3 linked regions of the Rattus norvegicus genome follow. The protein of the gene in region 3 binds, or shares a complex with, the protein of the main gene of each other region. Links are inferred from orthologs where the notes say so. Each region holds a gene or a part of one and is shown on either strand. Other genes may lie near its edges. The genes, in order: Crybg1, Ppme1 and Ppp2r5c.

What was found.
Region 1: the proteins of Ppp2r5c (region 3) and Crybg1 are in contact, whole or in part, in a crystal structure (PDB 6VRO), measured with the Homo sapiens proteins. The link is inferred for Rattus norvegicus from reciprocal best matches to the Homo sapiens genes PPP2R5C and CRYBG1. Residues at the interface, in NP_002710.2 of Homo sapiens: Lys183, Thr184, His187, Tyr190, Gly191, Leu194, Arg197, Ala198, Arg201, Glu226, Ile227, Ser230, Ile231, Asn233, Gly234, Phe235, Ala236, Lys240, Glu242, His243, Pro265, Gln266, Tyr269; in NP_001358171.1 of Homo sapiens: Pro1136, Phe1138, Ala1139, Met1140, Pro1141, Pro1142, Ile1143, His1144, Glu1145, Asp1146, His1147, Glu1149.
Region 2: the proteins of Ppp2r5c (region 3) and Ppme1 are in contact, whole or in part, in a cryo-EM structure (PDB 7SOY), measured with the Homo sapiens proteins. The link is inferred for Rattus norvegicus from reciprocal best matches to the Homo sapiens genes PPP2R5C and PPME1. Residues at the interface, in NP_002710.2 of Homo sapiens: Asp180, His187, Arg188, Tyr190, Gly191, Leu194, Arg197, Ser230, Ile231, Gly234, Phe235, Ala236, Lys240, His243, Asp313, Gln341, Tyr348, Glu353, Tyr354, Glu399; in NP_057231.1 of Homo sapiens: Arg37, Lys38, Arg39, Asn192, Lys217, Val251, Glu252, Gly253, Ile254, Ile255, Glu256, Glu257, Pro345, Gln346.

Annotation. Positions count from the first base shown.
Region 1 is NC_086038.1:49,046,935-49,050,579, forward strand, and holds part of Crybg1 (beta/gamma crystallin domain-containing protein 1), read right to left. Parts: intron 2,752-3,645; coding exon 2,704-2,751; intron 2,620-2,703; coding exon 2,501-2,619; intron 1-2,500. UniProt on the Homo sapiens protein: May function as suppressor of malignant melanoma. It may exert its effects through interactions with the cytoskeleton.
Region 2 is NC_086019.1:164,089,216-164,092,860, forward strand, and holds part of Ppme1 (protein phosphatase methylesterase 1), read right to left. Parts: intron 2,744-3,645; coding exon 2,620-2,743; intron 1-2,619. UniProt on the Homo sapiens protein: Demethylates proteins that have been reversibly carboxymethylated. Demethylates PPP2CB (in vitro) and PPP2CA. Binding to PPP2CA displaces the manganese ion and inactivates the enzyme.
Region 3 is NC_086024.1:135,281,443-135,285,869, reverse strand, and holds the start of Ppp2r5c (serine/threonine-protein phosphatase 2A 56 kDa regulatory subunit gamma isoform), read right to left. Parts: upstream 2,837-4,427; 5' UTR 2,699-2,836; coding exon 2,672-2,698; intron 2,087-2,671; coding exon 2,021-2,086; intron 1-2,020.

The sequences.
Region 1 (3,645 bases), on a different chromosome or scaffold from region 3:
ACTGCTTCTGCAGAGGGACTAAGGTTGAATCCTAGCACACACTGGGTGGCTCTCAACCACCACCACCTACATTTCTGATGTCTGATGCCTCTGGCCTCCATGGGCATTTGTACGCACAAACACTAACACACACACATATACATAATTAAAAAATAAATTGTTAAAACTAAACAAGAAACGGTTTCAAAAGAGATAGCAGCAGCCATGCTACAAACGAAATTATCTCGCAAAATTTGTTTTTAGCGTAATTTTCAGTCTTCTAATTTGATAATGAAAGTACACTTTGTTTTTCTAGGGAAGATGTTCACTATTTAGAAAAACATTAAAATATTAAAAGTCCTGTTGGAAAAGATGTTGTATAATTAATTAGATGGAGATTAAATGAAACACAGCTAACTTTTTAGGTCGTAACTCTGTTTGGTGTATAGTGTTTGTCCCCAGCCCAGCGTGCACAGACAAAATGAAGACAAACACGGTACCCTGATTGTTTGTAGTTGTTTCCCTTCACTCAACTTCCTGTGCGTTTCGGAGAGACAACCCAACCAGCTAAAGATTTTAGAAACTGTCACAGTGTTTACATTTTCGTTAATCTCCTAATCAAAACTAACTTTTGTCAAACTTCAGCTCACTTCTTCAGTGAAGTCCTAGAAATTTATTTATCTTTCCCTACAAGCTCATTTGGTTTACTGATTTATTAAATTATTGCCTGGGCGTGGTGATATACTCCTTTAACTCCAGCCTCGGGAGGCAGATGCAGGCAGACCGAGCTCTGTGAGTTCAAGGTCAGTCTGCTCTTCATAGTGAGATCTTGCTTCCATTTCTCAAATGTATTTGTGTGTGTGTGCCTGGGTATGTGATCCACGGTGTTCAGGTGGAGGTCAGAGGGCAACTCGTAGGAGTCAGTGCTCTCCCAGCACCGTGTGTGTCCTAGGAAACGAGCTCAGCTCACCACGCTTGGTGGCAAGCACTTCTACCCAGTGAGTGAGCTTGCTAGCTTTGCAGGGTGCGTGCGTGTGTGCGTGTGTGTGTGTGTGTGTGTGTGTGTGTGTGTGTGTATGCACATGTGCATGTGTGAGCATGTACATGTGTGTGCACGTGTGCGTGTGTATGCTGATCCGTGTGGGTGCACCGGTGTGCGTGTGTTTGAGATTAGGTCTTGCTACATAAGACCAGGCTGGCTTGGAACTCACAGTGACTTTCTTTTAACCTCTTGAGTGCTAGGATTATTGGCATGAGCAACCACATCCAGCTTTGTTTAACCCCATACAGGTTTAACAAGTCACACCTGACCTATAAATAGAACAAATGTAATTGTTCAATAAGATTTATTTATTTTATGTATGAGTACACTGTTGCTGTCTTCAGACACACCAGAAGAGGGGAGGGCATCAGATCTCATTACAAATGGTTGTGAGCCACCATGTGGTTGCTGGGATTTGAACTCAGGACCTCTGGAAGAGCAGTCAGTGCTCTTAACCACTGAGCCATCTCTCCAGCCTAAACAAATGTGATTTTAAAAATATAAGCTTTAGCTGGGGTTTAGCTCAGTGGTAGAGCGCTTACCTAGGAAGCGCAAGGCCCTGGGTTCGGTCCCCAGCTCCGGGAAAAAAAAAAAAAAAAGAACCAAAAAAAAAATATATATAAGCTTTACTTGTTTCTACATGTTTTTGTTTTTGTGGTTTTGGTCTGTATGTCTGTCTGGGTACTTGTATTCAGTACCAGCAGAGGCCAGAGGAAGATGTCTGATCTCATGAAACAGGAGTTTCAGATGGTGTCAAGCAACCTGTGGATGCTGGAAACCAAACCCAGGTCCCCTCGAAGAACTAAAAGTACTTTTCCCTGCCAAGCCATTGCTCCAGCTTCCAAATGCAATCCTTACCAACCTCATTAGATACCCATGAGCCAAGACGATACTATGGGTCCCAATTCTATCTGAAGCAATGTTATGTGGAGATATCTGGGGAAAAGAAGTTTGTTCTACTGTATTTTTATGATTTGTCTAAACAGGTTATCACTTTTACAGTCAAAACCATGTGTGTTAGACACAGGTTTCTTATCTTACCATCAACAGTGTTTTAAATCATTTATGCTGATAAAGGCACACACATAAGTATGTGGTGAGGTCCAAATCATAACTGAGAAAGCTAAACACCAGCTGTAAGCTGCACCTGCAGTGCACTCTGACACCAGCTGTTAGCTGCACCTGCAGTGTACTCTGACACCAGCTGTTAGCTGCACCTGCAGTGCACTCTGACACCAGCTGTAAGCTGCACCTGCAGAGCACTCTGACACCAGCTGTTAGCTGCACCTGCAGTGCACTCTGACACCAGCTGTTAGCTGCACCTGCAGTGCACTCTGACACCAGCTGTTAGCTGCACCTGCAGTGCACTCTGACACCAGCTGTAAGCTGCACCTGCAGTGCACTCTGACACCAGCTGTAAGCTGCACCTGCAGTGCACTCTGACACCAGCTGTAAGCTGCACCTGCGGCGCATTCTTACCATCCTCGGACAACTTTCACTAGTACCACTGGAGAAAGGCTCCAAGAACTGCAGTCCTGGATGTCCCCAAACACCTCGATGCACTCCTCAGAGACGTCGGGCTCACTGAATATCACGACCTGCAAGACAATGGAAGTGGCAGCATTTTGTCTCCCTTCACCAGACCGGGAGAGAATCTGGACTAGAAATTAGAATAACCTTACCTTGCCAGGCCGGGGATTGAGTTTATTGTGCATACTTCCTCTAAGAGTCTGCAATCAGAGGAACGGAAATGTGGTTAACAATTGCAGCATCACGGGGCGGTTGCCTTTTCTCCCCGAGATCCTTCAAATCAGAACATATTTACTCCACCGTTTACCAGCACTGAGGCAGTCTATCTTGCTCTAACTCAGGCATTGTCAGTGTTCTTTGTGAGTTTACACGATTACACTACAAGATTTTCCAAATGCACCTGTATTAAAGCTTCTACTCACTTTAACGTCTAGAGCATTTCCAACGATACTAGAAAATTTGGGGCCCAAAAGTCAGATCTGTGTTTTATATCGGTTCACGGACTAAGACCCAACCAGGAGACTGCATGTCAAGGAAAGAGCTAAGCTGGTTAGTGTGTTCATACACACACCCCATTGGATCTGTAAACACTGCGTTGCCCCAGTAACTTATCCATCATGTGACAAGCACCAGTCTAAAGGAAACTGTGCACACTGAGGCCGAGGGACACTTTCCCACACCTGCAGCTACAGGAGAGAATAGGTGAGAGTCACCAATCCAAGGATGCCTAGGCTACGGAGTGCATTCAGGACCAGACGAGGGAATTCAGTCAGATTCTTCATCTCAAAACAGAAAGGTAAAAAGAGGGTCAGGGATGTGGCACAACGGCAGAGCACTCACCTAGCGTGTGCAAGGCTGTGGGTTCAATCCCCAGAAAAGCAAGAGAAAAAAGAAGAAAAGGAGGTATAATACATTTCACAATACACACTGCACATAGCAGATTTTAAAGATTTATGTGTTGGATGTTTTGCCCACATGTATGGATGTGCACCAAGTATCCTTGTTAGTCAGAAGGCCCTGGTACTGGAGTTACAGACAGTTATAAGCTACCATGCCTTTGCTAGGTATTGAATCGGGTTCTCTGGAACAGCAAC
Region 2 (3,645 bases), on a different chromosome or scaffold from region 3:
GGTACAACTTTCCTTTCAGTGAGTATAAAGATTAGCAAAAGATTCACACAAAGAACATAGTGAAATAAAACAAAAGAACCCCTGCCACCACCCCTCCCCTCCCCCCCACCAACCTAAGTGAAAGAAAAAGCAGAGACTGTCCTTCAAGTTAGGATGACTACCAGAGAAACGTGGTAGACGTCTGGGAGAGAACAAGCTCATTTGTGAGTACAGTGCTGTTTTCTCATTTTCAGGTTGATGATGATGACCAGGGACAGTCGTTCTAATAAGGTGACGTGACAAATACATCTGACAACTGGGTGGTGAATGGCACACAGTATGCTATCAAATATTAGGTGAACTAGCTGGGCTGTGATAGAGCATGCCTTTAATCCCAGCACTTGTGAGGCAGATGCAGGCAGATCAGAGTTCAAGGCTAGCTTGGTCTACAAAGCAAGTTCCAGGACAGCCAGGGCTACACAGAGTAACCCAGTCTTGAGAAAATAAAGCCAACCAAACAAAAAACCTTTAGGTGACCTACTGAGTCCCCTACTTGCCTGCATCATAGAACTAGGTCAGATACAACTGAAGCAATGGCAGGACGAAGCACCAACTGCAACAGGAGATCTAGATGTGGACAAGATGACACTGTCTGCTCAAGATCAGTGGGTGACTAAGATGTCCACAGCACCCAAAGTGAGCCAGTCAGTGGAATCAAGTCTAAGTGGTATTTTTGGATGATATTTCAATGATCTTAAAGTTGTCTAAGACTACATACAATTCTGAATAGCCAACCAACTTTGCAAAAGTGTTAGAAATCTGGAGAACTCATTCTTGACTTCAAAACAGTACAATCTGTAGTAATTGAGAGTTTGGGACTTAGAGATATACAGTTCAGAGGCACAGGTTGAGCGTGCTGAGGCCTTCTGAACCACAAAACCAACAAAGTTTATAGTGTCATTAAAGACAGACAAAGGAAACGGAGGTCCCAGAAATGGACACTGAGATACACAGTCAAATGACCTCTGTTAAGAGTATTAAAAGTATTGGTGGGGGATACAAGGCCTCTTTTACAGTGCTGAGATAACAAATGCAGCCATGCAGAGAATGCAGGCACAGCTAGGCAGTAAGAGTGGAAAGATGCCCAACAGCAGCAGGCAACATGGAAACAGGAGATGGCTGCACTCAGAGACAGACAGCACTATGGGAACTATATGGAGAAACCAGAAGCCTCATTCTCTTAGCTCTCCATAGTGGGAAAAATTCTATAGAAAAATCTATATATTCATCATTTGAGGGACATATTAAAAATGTGACATATCAATACCACAGAATATTTTTCAGACATACAAATAAGGCAAACACTGATGCATGACACATGCAGCCACATGGATGAACCCTGAAAAGCCTGACCTACAGTAAAGAAGCCAGTCACAAAGGACCACACATTCCATAGTCCCTTTTATATGTACTGTTCAGATTAAGCATATCTACAGACCGAAAGTAGATTGATCATCTCAGCTAGGAGAGCTGAGGAGAAACAGGAAGTGGCTGCTTACAGATACAATAAAGAGGGAGACCTCTTCATTGGGGTGAGGTAGATGGAGAGCTAGGCCTCCATGTGTGAGTGCCTCCCACTGAGCTACATGCCTGGCCCTTTCTGTTTTCCTCCTTCTTGTAGATTTTAAGATAGGTGTCACTAAGGCACCCAACCTCCTGACTTATCATGTACTCCAGGCAGGCCTTGAATTTTTGATTCCTCTGCCTCAGACTCCCAAATCCAATTTCTGAATTAAGATGCTACTATATTATAGTATGAGAGAAAAATCTCCCTTCACCTTACAAGGTATTTCGAGGCCCAAACACATGAGGTATTATTTATACATTTGTAAATTCTAAAGAAGTATAAAATATTCTGATCATTGATCTTAAAAATGGCAGAAAGATCCTTATTAAGCAAAAAAAAATCCTTTAAAAATATGTATTCTTCTTGCTAAGAGCAGCACCCCCAAAGGCAAGGGAGTGTGTAGTAACACCAATATTACCTGACAGAAAGGAGGTGCTTACAATACGCCCTAGGAAGTCACTAATGCACCTCGCAAAGCAGCACTACCCATCATTAGCCTCAAACAGACTGCTCCACCAGAATCCCTACTTACACAGACATGAACTTAACACAACTGGTTTGCTTGGGTAATGATTTCTATTAAATGACAAGGCAACAGGAGGCATCACTGACAGTCAGGCATCCACAGCATCTGTGGCTTCATTATTGGGACTCCCTATGCGAAACTTCAGAAGTGTTACATTGCACATATCATTGTAAGTCTACAATGTAGATGGACTGACAGACACTGAGGTCAGAAAGCTTGTTCCAAGAGACAAGCCTCGGAAGGCAGTAAAAGCTGGACAGTCAAAAGATACAGGTACCAAATGAGGAGCCTGGTGAGGAAGTCTGAGGGGAACACAGAGTAAGTTTCTCACTCTAACTGCTGCATTAGTACTGCATTAGTGCCCTCCAGGCAATGCTCTCTTACCGCGGTGTCTCTGCCCACTAATGTATCTAACTGGACAAAAATAACAATGTTATCCCTGCTCCCCCACCCCCCATCCTCTGAGGAGGAGGCCTTCCTCACTCACTTCCATGTCGTCTTCCTTTTTCCTCTTGTTAACTGACTCACTTCCTTCTTCATCTTCTTCCTCCTCCTCTATGATTCCTTCTACTATGGATTTGGAACTTTCTGGACTTGTAATTCCTTCACACCTGGATTGAAAAAAACTTTGATGAATGTCTTATCAAATTGTCTTATTAGATACTCTTATGGCCCTTTATAATCAGAAGTTAGAGCTAAAACTATTCCTGGGCAGAAGATGTGTGGTTTTAGGGCTGGGGGAGGTCAAGGCCAACCTGTGGCTATATGCAAATAGCTAATTTTCAGTTCTTATGCCAATAAGGACCCATAAAAGGGAGTGGCCATCTTCTGGATAATGATAATGGTTTTATTGGTACTTTTAAATGACTGTCATAGCAATTCTTTGAAGTAGTCCTAAAGAGTTCAGAACAATGGCCAAAGAGGACAGTAAAAAGTCCTGCATTGCAATTACAATGACCATGGCAAGCAGAACCTGCAGTTTTGAACACCCAATCCAATCAATCACCATTTTCTTCTTCTGAGAAATGGTGCCCCTTACACAAACAAGGGATGACAGAAGAAGGGAAACTCACTGGCAAGAAGAAGGGTTTCAGCAGGAGGGAATGAGAGAGGGTGGACAGGGGTGTAAGTGACTACAGTTTTTCTGTATGTGTATGAAACTGTCAAACCTAAACAAGTAAGCAGGCAAACAATGGGGCCTCTTTACTATGTCATTAATGGAAAAATCATAAGCACCTGGTCCTACAATTCCTCTTAGAGAAGAGTTGATGGGAAAGGTTCTGACAGGTGCTAATGTGAGTCTAAGGTCTGAGGGCAGTGAGGCAGAGCTTGTGCTCCACGACAGAGACTATTTATTTTGCCTTTGAGAACAGAGTGTGACAAGGGACAACAGAGGATAAGAAGGGCAGGGATGGGCAGAGAAACTGAAGGGACAGCTCTCACTCAGCTCTCACTCTCTTCTTAACAGATAACAGGGGGCTGGGGATTTAGCTCAGTGGTAGAGCGCTTACCT
Region 3 (4,427 bases):
AGGGCTCAAGGAGCAGCAGTGGGAATACCAAACCCATTTACACCATTCAGGTTAAAACATCCCAGAGTAATCGGAGGAGAGAAGCCTGTGCAGTAATGACTTAATTCACTGGCTGAGTCAATCACACTAAGTGGGTGGGACCAGCAGGGAAGAACAGAGCCAAAGGCTGAGGGGAGGAGCCGGTGATCAGAAAGTAAGAGTAACTCAGAGGTCAAGGTAGCTACAGCGCCTTCATCTGCACTCCCGGGAAATAATCTAAACAGTGATCTGCTAAGGGTCAAGCTTAGCGAGTCACGTCACCTCAGGCATCCTTCTGAGAAAGGGGTGAGGCGCCCAACATCTCAGTGTTTTTCAGTGCTCATTCTGAGCTCTGGGACTCCAGCTCTTAGACAGTAGCACTAGAAAAGATACAGAAAGACAACTGGGGCATCACACCGGGCACTGCAGGCCACACTCCGGAGCCCTACACAGCTGACAGTAAAATCCCCAAGACCTTGACAGACACAGCAGTGGTGTGGACATCTTTCTACTGGGATGGGTTTTCTGTTTTTGTTTTGGATTCAAACCTAACCTAATCATCTACCCTATCCTTACAGCAAGGTCCTTTGGCTAAACTAGGGAGAAATGAACATACATGTTGACATCCTCTGTGTCCTCCAACAGCAGCAGGACACCGGTATGTTTGAGCGAGGAAGCTTTGGGGCACAGTAAGAAGTTTTAGCCGTCCTAATGACAGGACAACAAGGCACACAGTGTATATCTACCACGCAAAGCAACTACGTGTGCTGTGAACATCGCTGAAGGGATGGCTGTGGAAGGCAGTCAGACACTAGCGTGCCACAGGAAAGACACCATGATCTGCAGTACAGAAAGGGCAGGTGAAGACCGACACAGACAATCCTATCTCCTGGTATTTCAGGAACCTTTTGGATTTCTGCTTTCGGCTCTAGGGAGGGCAACAGATTTGCTAGGATGAACCACCTGCTGCAGAGGAGGGAGGCTTAGAACACACCAAATGGGGGGAGGGAGGGACAACCTGAAGCTAAAATAACCCCTGCAGATTATTGACAGTTAGCTGTGTTTCTCCGGGCAGAATTTAACTCATTCTAATGTGGCTCTCAGGAAGAGGACGCCTAACATCCACAAATTAAAAATGTGGTGGGGTTGGGGATTTAGCTCAGTGGTAGAGCGCTTGCCTAGGAAGCGCAAGGCCCTGGGTTCGGTCCCCAGCTCCGGAAAAAAAAAGAACCATTAAAAAAAAAAAAAAAGTCTGTGGTAAGATCTCAAAGATCCAGCTCTGGAGAAGGGAGACTTGAGGAGCAGCTTCTAGGCCCCCTTACACTAAAACCTGGGCCTTGTGGCTTGGGCGCTCTAGTTCCAAGACAATGAGATACAAAACAAAGCTAAATAAATAAACAGGCTGCCCTGCAAATCCCCCAAAGGCACAACTCCATTAAGGATCACAAATTCCACCAAATGACCCAAGGACCCAAGGTGTTATTCCAGATATTCTTGAAATAAGCCAAAGTCAGGAAGCAAGAAAAGTCGAGAATTCACCAATGAGGATGGGAGAGCTGGAGGGAAAGGAAATAGAAGACTTTAAGTACCCGTATTCGAGCTATCACAACACATTCACACTTCTTAGTTGAAAAGGACCGGCCACCAGCAGAAGAGAGAAGCTTGCCCCAGGACACCAACCAGCTCAAGAGGCTGAGCGAAGCAAGGACTGTGGAAGAGTCATTGAGAAACAGAAAAGGAATGAGGGGGCGGACCCTAAAGCTAGAGACTCCGTATGAGACCAGTTCACTGGGAGGGCCTGAGCTCCGTTAGAAGCCACGAGAAACTGTTTTTAAAATGTCAGCACACTTTAATGAAAGTGGATAAAGATAACTAACTCATATGAGAAGAAAGACTTCAGAAAGTCTTACACACTTTAGGAGACTTTGGTTTTTATTACCCTCTCTGTTAGACCCTAGATTAAAATCTGCTCCAGAAAAACAGAGAGTATTACAGTGGTTACCTCTGCTTCTGCTGTATCTTGTCCTTCTTTTGAACCTTTTCCACTTTTCACCGGTTTTGGTGGTTCCTGGAAATCATCACAAAAAAAGCAAAACAAAAAAACAAAAACAAACAACAACAACAACAACAAAAATCCAATTAGCGTTCTCAGTATTTGGACCGCTAAGCATCAGCTCAAATGCAGTTTCCAAACAGATACCTATCACCGAGAGCTTCTGATGGCTTTAATACGCCAGCAGCAAACTACATCATATTGAGTACCAGGAGCCTTCAAATTCCGTTTCTCTTCATGTCTGTGTTGGGGGTGGGGGCGAGGTGAAAACTCCAGGTAGGGACTGATAAACCCAGTGCTCTCCGCCCATCCCCTTCTCCCCTCCCACCCTTAAACCTCCAAGTGAGGGTTTCTGGGGCGAGTCCTGAACGCTCCAGCACCCCAGCCCCCGCCACGCAGAGCACTGCACGGAGCATCCGCCGCCACCCAGAGCGACCGCGGCACCTCAGCGCCACCTCAGAGCCTGGGCGGCCTCCCCAGCTCCATGCAATCCTGCCAGCGCCCTGGGCCCGCCCGCGAGCCTGGACGACCTGCCGTCTGCCCCTACCCGACGACGCGGGCATCCCCGACCCGGTCCCAGAGCCCCCCGCCCCGACTCACTTTCTCCTTCTTGTTTTTATTCGGCATGGCTGGTGCGGGCCGCCGCCGCCGCCGCCCCTGCCGCCGCCCGCCGCCACTGCCGCTGCAGCAGCAGAAGCGCCCCCGGCCCGGCCGTCGCGCCGCCCCGGCCGCCGCCGCCGCCGCTGCAGCCGCCGCCCGGGGACTGAGTCGCTCGTCCGCTCTCGCTTCCCCTTTTCCAGGCTCCCAGAGGCTGCGGCAGCCGCGGCGGCGGCGGCGGCGGCGGCAGCGGCGGCGGCGTCTCTCCGCCCCTCTCCCGGCAGGCCCCGCCCCCGCCCCAGGCCCCGCCCCGCGCCGGCCCCACGCTGCCCTCTCCCCGCCTCGCCGCCCTCAACGACGCCACGCCATTGGCCGATACGGCCCCACGTGCCCTAACGCTCCGCAGCGTCGCCCCGCCCACTGCGCGGCCCGTCCCCACCCCCTCGGTGCGGACCGTCTCGTGTGCGGCCGCGCTGCCCGGGTCTTAAAGGTTTTGGTGGAGCCACTAGGGAGCGAGCTATTGGGGGAGAGGGATGTGTGTGAGTACGACGGAGGTGATAAAGTCACGGCCGCTGAGCCGGGACGGGGAGGGAAACACGACAGTGAGGAGCGGAAATGCACATGTGAAATGTATGGCAACTATTCTGCAGCCGTCCAGGCACGAAAAGCTCTGTCCTGTAAGCCTGGTCGCGACGACGCTCGTGCAGAGCGGAGAAGACCCGGGACCGCGCGAGCGGCGGTTTCCTTGGGCCATAAGGCCCCGCCCACGAAGGCAATGCTGCTGGCTCCGGGGAGGGCTCCGCCCACCGCACGCCTCTGAGGCGGGACTCACTTAAGCCCCTCCCATCGAGTCCACGCCTCCCCTTCGTCCCCGCCCACGCGAGCAAAGGAACTCTTCCCCAGAGCAGGCTCCACCCACCGCTGTCTAAGTGTAGACTCCGCACAGTTCCCCTGGGGTCCTGCACGCCGAGATTTCTCACTTCAAGACCCACCCGCAAGGCAACCGGCTTTCCCAACGTAGGCAACGCCCATCTTACGTCTTGGGGATTGGATCCACCGAGGCCGAGCCCATCAGCTGCACCCTGGGAGACTCTACCTGCACGCCCCTCCCGTCGACTCGGCCTACCTGAGATACAGTCACATCAGTGGTGGCTTTTTCCCCACCGTGCCCATTACATCTGAGCAGCCCTGCGCTTTTGAGATTGTTATTCTCTACCAGTGGTCGTAAGCCTGTGAGAAAACTGCATGAAGACCAACGATCACTTCTCTGGTAGCTCTTTATGAGAGAAGAAGCTTAGCCTTCTAATTCGCTACTTACACAGTCCTTTTTTTGGAGTTGTCAGTGTCTGACATCCTATATTGAGGGGGAGCACTTGGAAGGAAGACTGTAGGAGTGAACTGTTTCAACGGCAGGAGACTAGGCGCTCACTCAGGATTTAGGAGCTGTCTTTGTGGATAAGCTTTGAACATGCTAGACAAACGCTGGAACCTTCAGCTACATCCCCAGGCCAAGGCACTGAAAATTGATGTATCTTAACCCTTGTTTTTTGTTTTGTTTGTGTTTTAACCCTTGAAAATGCCAAGTAAAGCATTTTCAGTTGTTCCCACCCAAGCTTTCGAGGGAAAAAAAAAAAGGAGATCAAAAGTGAGAGGTTCTGAGAGTGGGTTTTGTCTGCTGGTGTCTGAATGTGTACCTAAATAAAACTAATCTGTAGGTAAGAATGACCAGCCGCAATGTGTATTTGACAGAAGAATGGCT